Linked DNA regions of Caenorhabditis elegans. The protein of the gene in region 1 interacts with the protein of each later gene in a pairwise test. Each region holds a gene or a part of one and is shown on either strand. Other genes may lie near its edges.

What was found. Proteins that work in one complex are often made in the same cells at the same time.
Region 2: the proteins of nhr-34 (region 1) and atfs-1 interact in a two-hybrid assay, tested with the Caenorhabditis elegans proteins (one large-scale study listed by BioGRID).

What each region holds. Positions count from the first base shown.
Region 1 is NC_003282.8:9,669,650-9,674,496, forward strand, and holds the start of nhr-34 (Nuclear hormone receptor family member nhr-34), read right to left. Parts: upstream 3,022-4,847; 5' UTR 3,013-3,021; coding exon 2,918-3,012; intron 1-2,917. UniProt on the Caenorhabditis elegans protein: Orphan nuclear receptor.
Region 2 is NC_003283.11:14,192,532-14,198,229, reverse strand, and holds atfs-1 (Stress activated transcription factor atfs-1), read right to left. Parts: upstream 3,785-5,698; 5' UTR 3,748-3,784; coding exon 3,652-3,747; intron 3,598-3,651; coding exon 3,527-3,597; intron 3,478-3,526; coding exon 3,102-3,477; intron 2,016-3,101; coding exon 1,944-2,015; intron 1,898-1,943; coding exon of another isoform or gene 1,892-1,897; coding exon 1,811-1,891; intron 1,678-1,810; coding exon 1,025-1,677; intron 927-1,024; coding exon 809-926; 3' UTR 538-808; downstream 1-537. UniProt on the Caenorhabditis elegans protein: Acts as a transcription factor during mitochondrial stress by activating the mitochondrial unfolded protein response (mtUPR).

The DNA of each region.
Region 1 (4,847 bases):
GTGTATGAAAAATCAAGAATTTGCAAAAATTACATTCAAGAATTAATTTTAAAAAACGGAAGACAAACCAGATTGAATTTAAAACTCGAAACAGAAGTTTGAAATTAACGAAAGATTTAAAATTCAGTTTTGTTAGTTCTGATGCAGTGAGTTGAAATTTCACAATTTGGGGTAGAGTTCAAAAAATTTCAATAAGATGTGAACAATCAGGGGCAGTTCCCGTAGAACGTCTTAAAAATACACATATAATATTTCAATTAATTGTGTATTTTTAAAAAGTTTGAAGTAACTCAAAAACTGAAATTCAAAAGTGAGAATATCAACAGGAATGGGACACAAGTTGACCTCGTGTCTGCGATGTCTCTACCGCTTTTCTCGCACCGTTTTCGTTTCCTTTTTCAACGCGCATACCGAAAAAATGTTTCGTCTCGATCCTGCGCGAGTTCAAACGTTCAAAATCAGCGTCACACAACTACATCGATTCAAACGAGAGAGGATTCAAAAATCAGAGACGCAGACAGTCCTAGAGAATCCTAGAGAAAATAGATGAGCTAGTGAGTGTCACGTGACGAAGAGATTCAGATGTGCAAGGCGATTTTTGTATGGGGAGAAAAACGGGTAGCAGTACCCACCGATATAGAGTTGAGATTAGACAACTAGATGATCAAACTATGATATAATATTCATAGAATATGTTCTTTTTTTTTAACTTGTAACTTTCTACAGAGATTGACGACACAACTGTAAATAGTTCTCAATTTGGAAATAGATTTCTAACAATATAGGATCAGAAAGTTACTGATGTGGGGAATTGCATTAAAAATTAAGTAGCTAGCAGAGAAATCTTGATAAAATAAATTTGAATGTGACCAAAAAATGAATGCAGTATAAATAATTACATTTAAATGTGTCAAAATTGAAAAAAAAACATTGGAAGGCGTGAAAAAACTGTAATTCTGATTATTTTGAGAAGGTTAAAGTTGCATATTAAATCTAAAAATATTTTTAAAAATTAAAAGAAAATCAAACAATCATTGGAAAAAACCATTTCTTGGTCTACTACACTAACAGAATAGTTCAAATTTTAGGGATAGAATTAAGGGAATTTTCGAGATTTTAAAAGTTTGAGTAAAATTTTATCACATTTTTAATAGTACAAATTAAATCAAAAATACAATTTCCACTAAAAACGAAAGAAAAAATTTCTCAAAATCAATTTCTGAAGACTATGGCTATTCCGTATCACAAAAGCTCCTTGTTACAGTGAAAAAAGTGTAGTCTGACAATTGAAACAAGAAACAGTTCCCTGCAACCAAATATAGTCAAAAACGATATTGAAACAGTGAGTGAGAGAGATTGAAAGCGAGGCAAAAAAAGAGTTGAAGACCAACATAAAATACACATAATCAGTGTAAAACTCACTGTCTTTCATCATCTCTTTTACTCTTTTTCCCTAGCGTTTCAACTGAAAAATGGAAACTTTTCGTCCTTTTCCCTCTCAATTCTGCCGACGGTTTGTTTGTACAAAGGGCGGCGAGAGAAGTATCAACGTGGATACGCAGAGAAAGGAGTGGATCGAAAGATCAAATTGAGTGTGAATTGAGTAGAGAGACACCACGTGGCACTACTGACCCGATGGTCAACAAGACGCTCGGATCTTTGGTCTTATAGTTAGCAACCAGAGAAGAATGTTTTACATTTTTATAGGATTGAAGTGGGAATTGACATTCAAAAACCCTCCGACTAATCCGTTATTTACTGGAAAAAGAGTGACGATGTTGAAAGGTACAGTTTGCACCGAATTCAGAATAAAATGAGAAAATCGTGTCGATAGGGTCAGGAATGGACAAGAATGATATCATCGGGCGAAGAATCGATAGTCGATTGACGCCATCCGATCAATTGGTAGAGGCAAAGGACTGGTTGTGATTTATGGAAGTTACAGGCAAATGGATAGATGGACAAAAATCGAACTTATTTAATTTAGTCCGATGTCTATGATTTCCAAAATTTTTGAACTAATTCCAAAATACAACTTGAACTTTTTGGAAGCATTTTTTAATCCTGTGCCATGAGTTCACGATTATTCAGCGTATGAAATTCCAGCTTAACTTCTAGAAATCGTGGAAGCATCTAGTTTTAGTGGTTCGTCAAAACTGTTTTTCTACAGAAAATAAACAAATGAACGTTCATGCCGTCAAGTCAGTCTTACCGCCGAATTTACACGTGTTTCTGCGCTGAAAAATAAAAAATACACTATTTCAAAGTTAAAATTTGCAGCAGTATCTGGAAAACATGTCACTTTTTCTTGAAAAAAGGTTTTTTTTATATTTACAAAGCAAACAAAAAAACATATATGACACACCTGAAAACATTGGCAGATCCGAAAATCTATTGATATAATGCAAAACAAAGAAGGCCTGTCAAATTGATGCAATGTGACTTCACTAGACTCTTTTTAAACTCTTGATCAAATAAAACTTGCAAATCAGAATATACTACAGTCTACTCAAATTATTTTTACTAAAAATTCATTTAATCAATTAGCGGATATATTGCTGGTAATATCAGTTTAATACTGATAAGAGTGAACTTGCAAAGCAGGCAGACAGCTTCTAAAATCTGTCAATTTTGAATGAACTGCCGACAATCGAACTTTCAATACTGTGTTTTTATAAGTTACTGTTAAAAGTCTTTAATTGAAAACCCCTCAAATAGATTAGTTCTTATTTAAAAAATAAAACAATCACGATCATCTCTTTTTTTTTCTTGTTATCATTTTTCTCCGAAAAGATCTCAAAATAAGTGATTATCATGTTTAGTTGTCTTCCTAACCGTATCTTCATTTTTCATAATTTCTATCATATTATCTTCTTCCTTTTTCTTTGATCTATTCCTTTTTTCTTCATTCTCCCACCTTTTATCAATACATTCTTGCACGTCTTCATTCCCAGTTTCACACCCAAAACGATCAGACATCCAAGATATATTGAAAATACAGTAATCCGTCATGCTAGGTGCCTGCAAAAGCGTTACATCACGTGGTCTTTCGATGACCCTGTATGACAGAGAAAAATGGGAGAAATTGATGAAATTCTGATGATGATGGTGGATAATATTATCGAATGTGGGATAGGAAAAAGAGTACAAAATACGTTATTTTTCATGAAAACTATTAGGAAAACTGGAACAACTGTTTGATCAAGTTACAGATAATACGGCAAGAAAAAATGTGACAAAGTCGTCAAAACTTACAATTAGATTCAGCAATATTTTCTAAATTTTGTAATAATCACTGTGAGCTCTAGGTGTTTTTTTCAGTTTTGCCGAACCTATGTTCAAGAATTCTCAACTACGATTTTTCAACAAAAAAATAATTTTTTGGGAAAAGCAGGGCACAGTGTTGAGTGCACCAATTTTTTTGTAGGACTCTTGATTACAGAACTGAAAAAATGCTTACAATTATAAAATTAAAAAAGGCTTTAACTGCAAATTGTAAATTGTGGAATGTAACCTTTTGAATTTCTTATTCGGTATGCATAAAAACATGTCAGGCGTACAAAATTTTGAAAATTGGCTGAACGGATGAAAATGAAAAAGCTTACTAGTCAGAACATAAATTGTATGGAGCACGATTTTATTCATTTTCAGTCGCGTCCCGTCGGCTCTGTATTTATAACAGGTATGTATGTCGGTTAAATTTTAAAAAATTAAGTGAAAGTTTGCATTATTCATAATTGATGTCACGTGAAGCAGTTGAAAAGGTGAGAAGGTCATGCGAAACCGGATCGCTTGATTAGAGTAAGAGTACGGCAAACTTTCATTAAGAAGTTTTGATTGCTGACAGTACAAAGTAGTAGTTTTAAAAATTGAATGTTATAAAAAGTACAATTTTCAAAATGTAGTTATTCGTAATCAGTTGCAAAGAGAATTCTATAAAATAAATTACTAAAACTTGCCCAGAAATGAAAAAAACATGGGAATAAACGTAGCATTTATACCACACAAACTATATTAAATATCAATTTCAAAAATGTTCATTGATCCAAAAAGAATCAGAAGAACAAAACAAAATACACATTTTCTCTTCTGACCTGACTTCACTTTAGTCAAAATCTCTGGCAGGGGAATTCGAAAGATCAGTTGGCGTAGACCAGCTTCTGACATATTCCTACAATCAGAATAGCTCTCTGCCCTCCTCTCCCGATAATCAGCTGTTATTGCACAGATTATCTTTTGCTCTTTTTACGTACTTCAAGCACGTAGCAGCATATTGAGATTATTCAAGTAGAGTAGAGACGATCATTTGATCTTCTCATATTTCTCGCCCCTTTTTCATCTGAAACCAACAAGTTCTGATTTGATGTGGTGGTCAAGAAGACTAGAGTTTGGCAAGCGTGCGCGCAAAGCAAAAGGAGGAGGACAAAGTGTTTTCTTTTGAATATATACGAAAAACAGAAAATGCGGAAAAAAGATCAAAAGATGGAGCAGTGATCTCTGCACCACCGAAACACAACACACTTTTTGCACACACACACGCATTGAGGGTGGTTAAAACGACGTAGATAAGGTTTCGAATATTAGACAAAAGGTATGGCGACTAGATGCGAGAGTCAGATTACAATATGACTTTCCAAAGAATTCATCACATAAATAAGAAGGTAATTTGTCTGACCTTTTTGTATTGGTGTATTGCTCTTGTGCCCTAATTTCTCAAATTTTCTACCTTCGCCATTGCAACCTACGCCTGCCTGTGCCTATATAGGCATCTATACTCTTAGTTTACTGCCAAAGCACACGCAAACCTCACTTTCAGCTTCATTCTAAAAACGTTTAGTGGGAAAATT
Region 2 (5,698 bases), on another chromosome or scaffold:
TTTAGAAGAAGAAGGTATTTCTAATTAGAAGAAGTAGACATATTTAGAAGAAAAATGCGCTTATATTTAGAAAAGAGTAGACCTATTTAGAACAAAAAGGTACTTCTAATTAGAAGAAGTAGACCTATTTAGTTATAAAAAGCTCTGCTATTTAGATGAAAAAGCATTTCTAATTATGTCGTGTTAGGAGCTAGCGCCATTTCTAAATATATCTGCTTTTTTCTTCTAAATAGAAGCGAAAACGTTTATCTGAGTGGTAAATTCAAAATAAGAATTCGCAAAAATAGAACAAAATTCTGCATTTCTAGCAAAAAACTGTAAAAGCTTTTCCTCGGGGAGTACACGAGCTGCGTAATTCGACACAGGAACAATGTTCAACCTTGATATCAAACCACATTTTTCTTAAAAGTTTACCGTCTCATGGCGATGATATTACATCGTGCAGCAGTGATGTTTGTGTAAAAATGTTACACAACTGCGTCACGAACACAAGAAAAATCATTGAAATGTTTTGACATTTGTGAAACAATTTTTAAAAAAATTATCATTCATTTTGAGTTGATTTTCTGATTGAGATGTGAGCAGTTTAGATTTGAGGAGTTGAAATTGGATGGGAAATTTGGGATCGAATACCCGTAACAAAAATACAAGAAATGGGCAGTTTTTGAGAGAAAAAAAAGATGGGGGAAAGGTTCTATGAAAAATGATCTACAGTTGGGTGAACAAAGGGAGAAAAACTATGTAACCAAAAAAAAAGTTAGCAAAACTGAAAAGAACAGAAAAAAAGAACAATTGTTTCGAATTCTGATTATTGAATAATGGCGCCCATTTTACGAAGCTCCTTTTTCATCGAGTTGATCTCACGCTTTAGTTGACGTTCTTTTTGAAGAAGAATTCGATTACGATCAGCTACTTCTTGGAACTCCCTGCAAAAATATTAAATTTTAGATATCTATCTGCTTTAAATTTTTAAAATTTAAAATTATATTTTTCAAGATTGCAAGTTTAAAATAAATATTCTTACATTTTTCTTCCCTTCTTCTCGGCTCGTTTCTTCTCTCTATACCGAACTGCTGCTATTCTATTCAACATTCGTCTTCGATCGGTTTCCTCGTCGACTGAAGGCTTCAGAACAACTCCACGTTTCTTAAACTTCTGATGTTCTTCTGGAAAATAGTCATCGGAAGCTGGCGTCCACGAACGTTCAGAATCACGACGCCGAAGATAAGTTGGCGTAGCAGATTTCCGATTGAGACGTGAACTTGTTCTTCTGGCTTCAGATGCTGGAATATAGTCTTCATCGTCATCATCTCTCTGCTGGATAAAGTCGTCGAAAACGTCTTCTTGTTTCGGAACACAAAGAAGAGGTCCAGAAGAGAAAAGATCAACATCATGGTGCATTCTGACAGGTGCTCGATGTTCTTGCTGCATTGGAGCTGATGGAGTTGACAGTCTCAAAAGATTCGACGCTGATGATGAAGAGCTCAGGTTGAAGCTGGGAAAGTGAGATGATGGTGGTGGAATCATCGGATCATAGAGGCTTATTCCAGAATCTGGAGATGAAGTTGACGAAGTCATCAACGAATCGGATGACGTCATTATCATGGGTTCTTCCTTGAAAAATGCTTCTGGACGCTTAAAAACGTCGTCGTCGCTCTCCAAGTAGTGATTCCATGCCTAAAAAATTTAAATTATTAATGATTTTCATTTAAAATTAATTTTTAAAGGTCACTAATATTTTGAACACTCCAAGAAAAAACGAAAAAGTGTTAAGTGTAATATTAGCAAGAAATTATTTTCCAAGTCATACCTCCCAATCGACAGCTTTCGATTCTTGCTCAATGTCCATTTCGAACTTTGACAATTTTCGATCTTGTGGTGGCATTCCGTACTGAAACTATTTCAATCATAGAATCAGTTCTTGGATTAGGGGAAAAAGATACCTCATCTATTCGGGAAGTTCCCGTTAGCTGATCGATCGCCGATTTTGATGGTGATTGGAAGAGCGGGGAGCCCTGAAAAGAGAGCAGATTAGCATGCGGGAAAGTGGGTGGTGTGATGTTATTTTTTTGTATTTTTTATGTTATAATTCAGGGTTTTTGCTTTATTAGGATCAAAATGCATGCTGTCGAAAACCCGGATTTTCATACCGAGAATTTTCAAAATTTTCGCTAAAATGACCAAATTTTAGCTTAAAGGTGGAGTAGAGTCGAAATTTTTTGCTTTAAATGACAGAAAATAGACCCTAATAACCGAATATAACTGTAAAAAAATTCAAAAAAAATTTCTAAATTTTTTGAGATTTTTTCAATTTTTCAAAAATCAAAGAAACGGTCGAATTGAATTCCCGCGCAAATGAATGTCGCCATTTTTTATATTTTCGTGTTTTCTGGCTAAATTCGTCGGTTTTTCTTAATTTTTTCTTTTACATTTGATCTCAAAAAAAGCACCGTTTGCCAATTTTTCGAACATTTTTCCGTGAAGATAACTTGATAACCGAAAAAGTGTCTGAAAAATTGAAAAACGTTGTTTCAAATCAAATATAAAAGAAAAACTTAATAAAAACCGGTAAATTCAGCCAGAAAACACGAAAATATCAAAAATAACGTCACTAATTTGAGCGGGAATTCAAATTTAATTCGGCCGTTTTTTTGATTTTTGAAAAATTGAAAAAAAAACTATTAAAAAATTTTAGAAAATTTTTAAAAATAAAAAATTTTTGGACTTTACTGCACCTTTAATTCTCCAATTTTGTTAACTTCCAGCAGCCGGAAATTAATTTTAATTTTCCTTTGATTATTGTCTTATTTTTAATGTTTCTCGTGTTTTTTTTGTGTTGATTTCGGCTTTAAATGCACATAAATCAACCAAAAAAAAAAGAAAAACTAATTTTAGGCGGCTTAAAGTTGGCAAAATTGGAGATTTCAGCTAAATTTGATTTTTTTTCGAAAATTTTAAAAACTCTCGTTATGAAAGGTCTTTTTGGGGGATTTTTAGTCGGCAATGCGAAAAAGATTCGATTAGAAACACACAAATCGAAATTAATGGTTAGTTTTTGTTGTATAAATCTGCACAATGGTTAAGAACTATTTTTCCCGTACCATATTATCTCCAAAATTGGAGAAATCATGCATTGTTTCTGTTGTACTTGAATGCGTGGGCGGCTGCTGACATGTCTGCTGTTGTTGCTGATGACCATGTGGATGTCCAACACTGCTACCATTCTGCCATGAGTCGGTCGGTCGCCATGCTTCCAGCTCAAAACAATCAGTTGATTTTCCCAATCTAGGATCTCTGCCGCAAACCGTCACGTTTTTTCCCTCCCAGAACTGATCGAGTTCCAGCTCGTCTGATGGTGCAGGACACGGAGCCCGAGGCTTAGTGTGCCATGAGTCGAGGTCCAGTAGCTCGAGCTCTTTGATGACTTCATCGTCGTCCATGGGTACGCCGAGGAATGGATCATTTCCGAAGCTGGTCCTGTAAGCTTATATTTTTCTTGATTTGAATTTTTTCGCGCAATTCTCACGTTCTATGCCTCACTGAATCGGAGAAGCTGTGCGCAAAACTGGTCAGCTGGTCATTGATCGGTGCGGTTACCTGAAAAACATTTTTCATGTCAAAAATAATATTTTTCTGCAACAAAAAGCAAACCTTCAACGGCTGCTGATAGATGTTATCTCTGCGGAACGGACAATTTGACACAGCCTGGGCACCAAAAGTTGTGAGACGTCCCACACGGGAAAACATTTTGATGGTACTGTTTCAGATGGAATGAAGAGTTTGGCTGAAAAAGGAAAAATAGGTTAGAATATTGAGAAATATGGAAGTGGTATGAGGTCAGAATGAGGGATATATGTGTAAAGCATATCATATTTCATATATCAGATGACAAAAGGCGAAAGGAGGCGGTTTCTATTAAAATTGGAGATATTTTAAAATATTTTAAACGATGGAATTTAAAAAGAAACTGATATTTTTGAAATATTTCAAAAGAAAAATTAATTAAATTTGTGGGTTTTTGGGTCCTGAAACGACTGAAAAATCCCATAAATTTGTATAAATAACTATTATCGAATGTTTTGGGTGTTTGTATCACGTTAAATCTTTGATTCAGACACAAGTTTTAAGGCATTAAAAAAATCAACAAAATTCAGATTTTAACGAAAATTTGTTTTTTTTTTTCGAAATTTTGACTCGCCATAAAAATTGTTGGATTTTTTCAAGAAGTCTCGTCATAAAATTAGGTTGTTTCTGGCAGTTTCACTGTATTTGAACCAAAAATCCTTTTTTTGCAGCGAACCATTATGGGGATTTCTAAACATTGATTTTTGCAAGAAAAATCTATAAAAACTGATGAAAATCGAAAGAAAATTCAAAATTGCATAGAAAAGCCTAGAAGCTTCCATCATGCAAATTGCATCATGACTCACATTGGCAGTGCTCTATACCACCATTGGACCGAAAAAGTAGTGTAATTAAGATTTAATAATCGATTTCTACACCATAGACAATTCACAATTGACCGTCGAACCAACCACATCGCACAAAAAAAAAGATTTTGATAAGGTGAACAAGTGAGTGAGAGAGAGAAAGTGCGTCTGTCGCAGAGGAGAGATAGAGAAGAGACGCAGACGGAGAGACAGTCGGGAACATTGGGCAAGAAGCGGAGAATGGCAGAGAACGTGATGGAGAGGAGGAGTCTAACGGGCGGTCGTAGAGGTTCTGAAGGAGGTTTCAATGGATTGCACAAAGGTGAAGAAGCTGGAGGTTCTAAAAAAGAGCAAAGACAAACGAATTTGTGTGCGACGATTTTGTGTTCTGTGCTCGAATTTTATGAAAATCGTTTTACACTTTTCGAAAAGATAATAAATAAATATTTGAACTGTTCTCTGCGACCAAAATTTTTGCAAAATTCAAGGATCTATAAATTAATTTCAGTAATACATAGTTTCATATGATAAAATTTCATGACATTTTTTCTTCAAAAAATAACTTTGCAAGCAAAACACAAATTTTACAAAGAAAAAACCCCCAAACAAAGGGAAAACTGAGAAAAAAATGCGGAAACAATAAAAAAAATAAACTTCCATGCATACTTTTACAGTATCCTTAAAGGCGCATGGACGTTTTGAAACTCGCGCGTCAAGACCCACCTTTAAAAATCGTTGACAATCCTTTAGACCGTTACGGTACTTTGCTTTTTTGTCCTTTTATTATTTTTAATAAATATTTATTACAATTGTTTTTCAATGTGAAAATTTATTGGAAAACTAGCAACAAAAAACCGAAAGACATAAATATTTATAAAATGTATATATTAACACTGAAAGAAAACAAATAAACCTTCAATCACCTTGTTTTTTCGAAATTAAAAAATTCATCAGTAAAGTTTATGACAAATGTGTCATTCGAGATATTGCAAATTGTTTGTTTGTCACTCTTGTAATCTGGATTGAAGAACTTTGCCATTTGAACAGGATTAAAGTTATGAGTAAACTTGAGGCTTTCCAAGTTTTCAGATTTTTTGATAATTTAAAAAAGATACCAATTAAATTGAAGAAGAAGCAATAACTCAGTATAATAACTCAAGAAACAATAACAGCTATAGCTCTCGTGTCGATTTATGGGCTCGAATTCGGCATAAAATGAATTTATTTTCGAATAGAGACATCGATATTCCATTTTTACTCGTTTATTT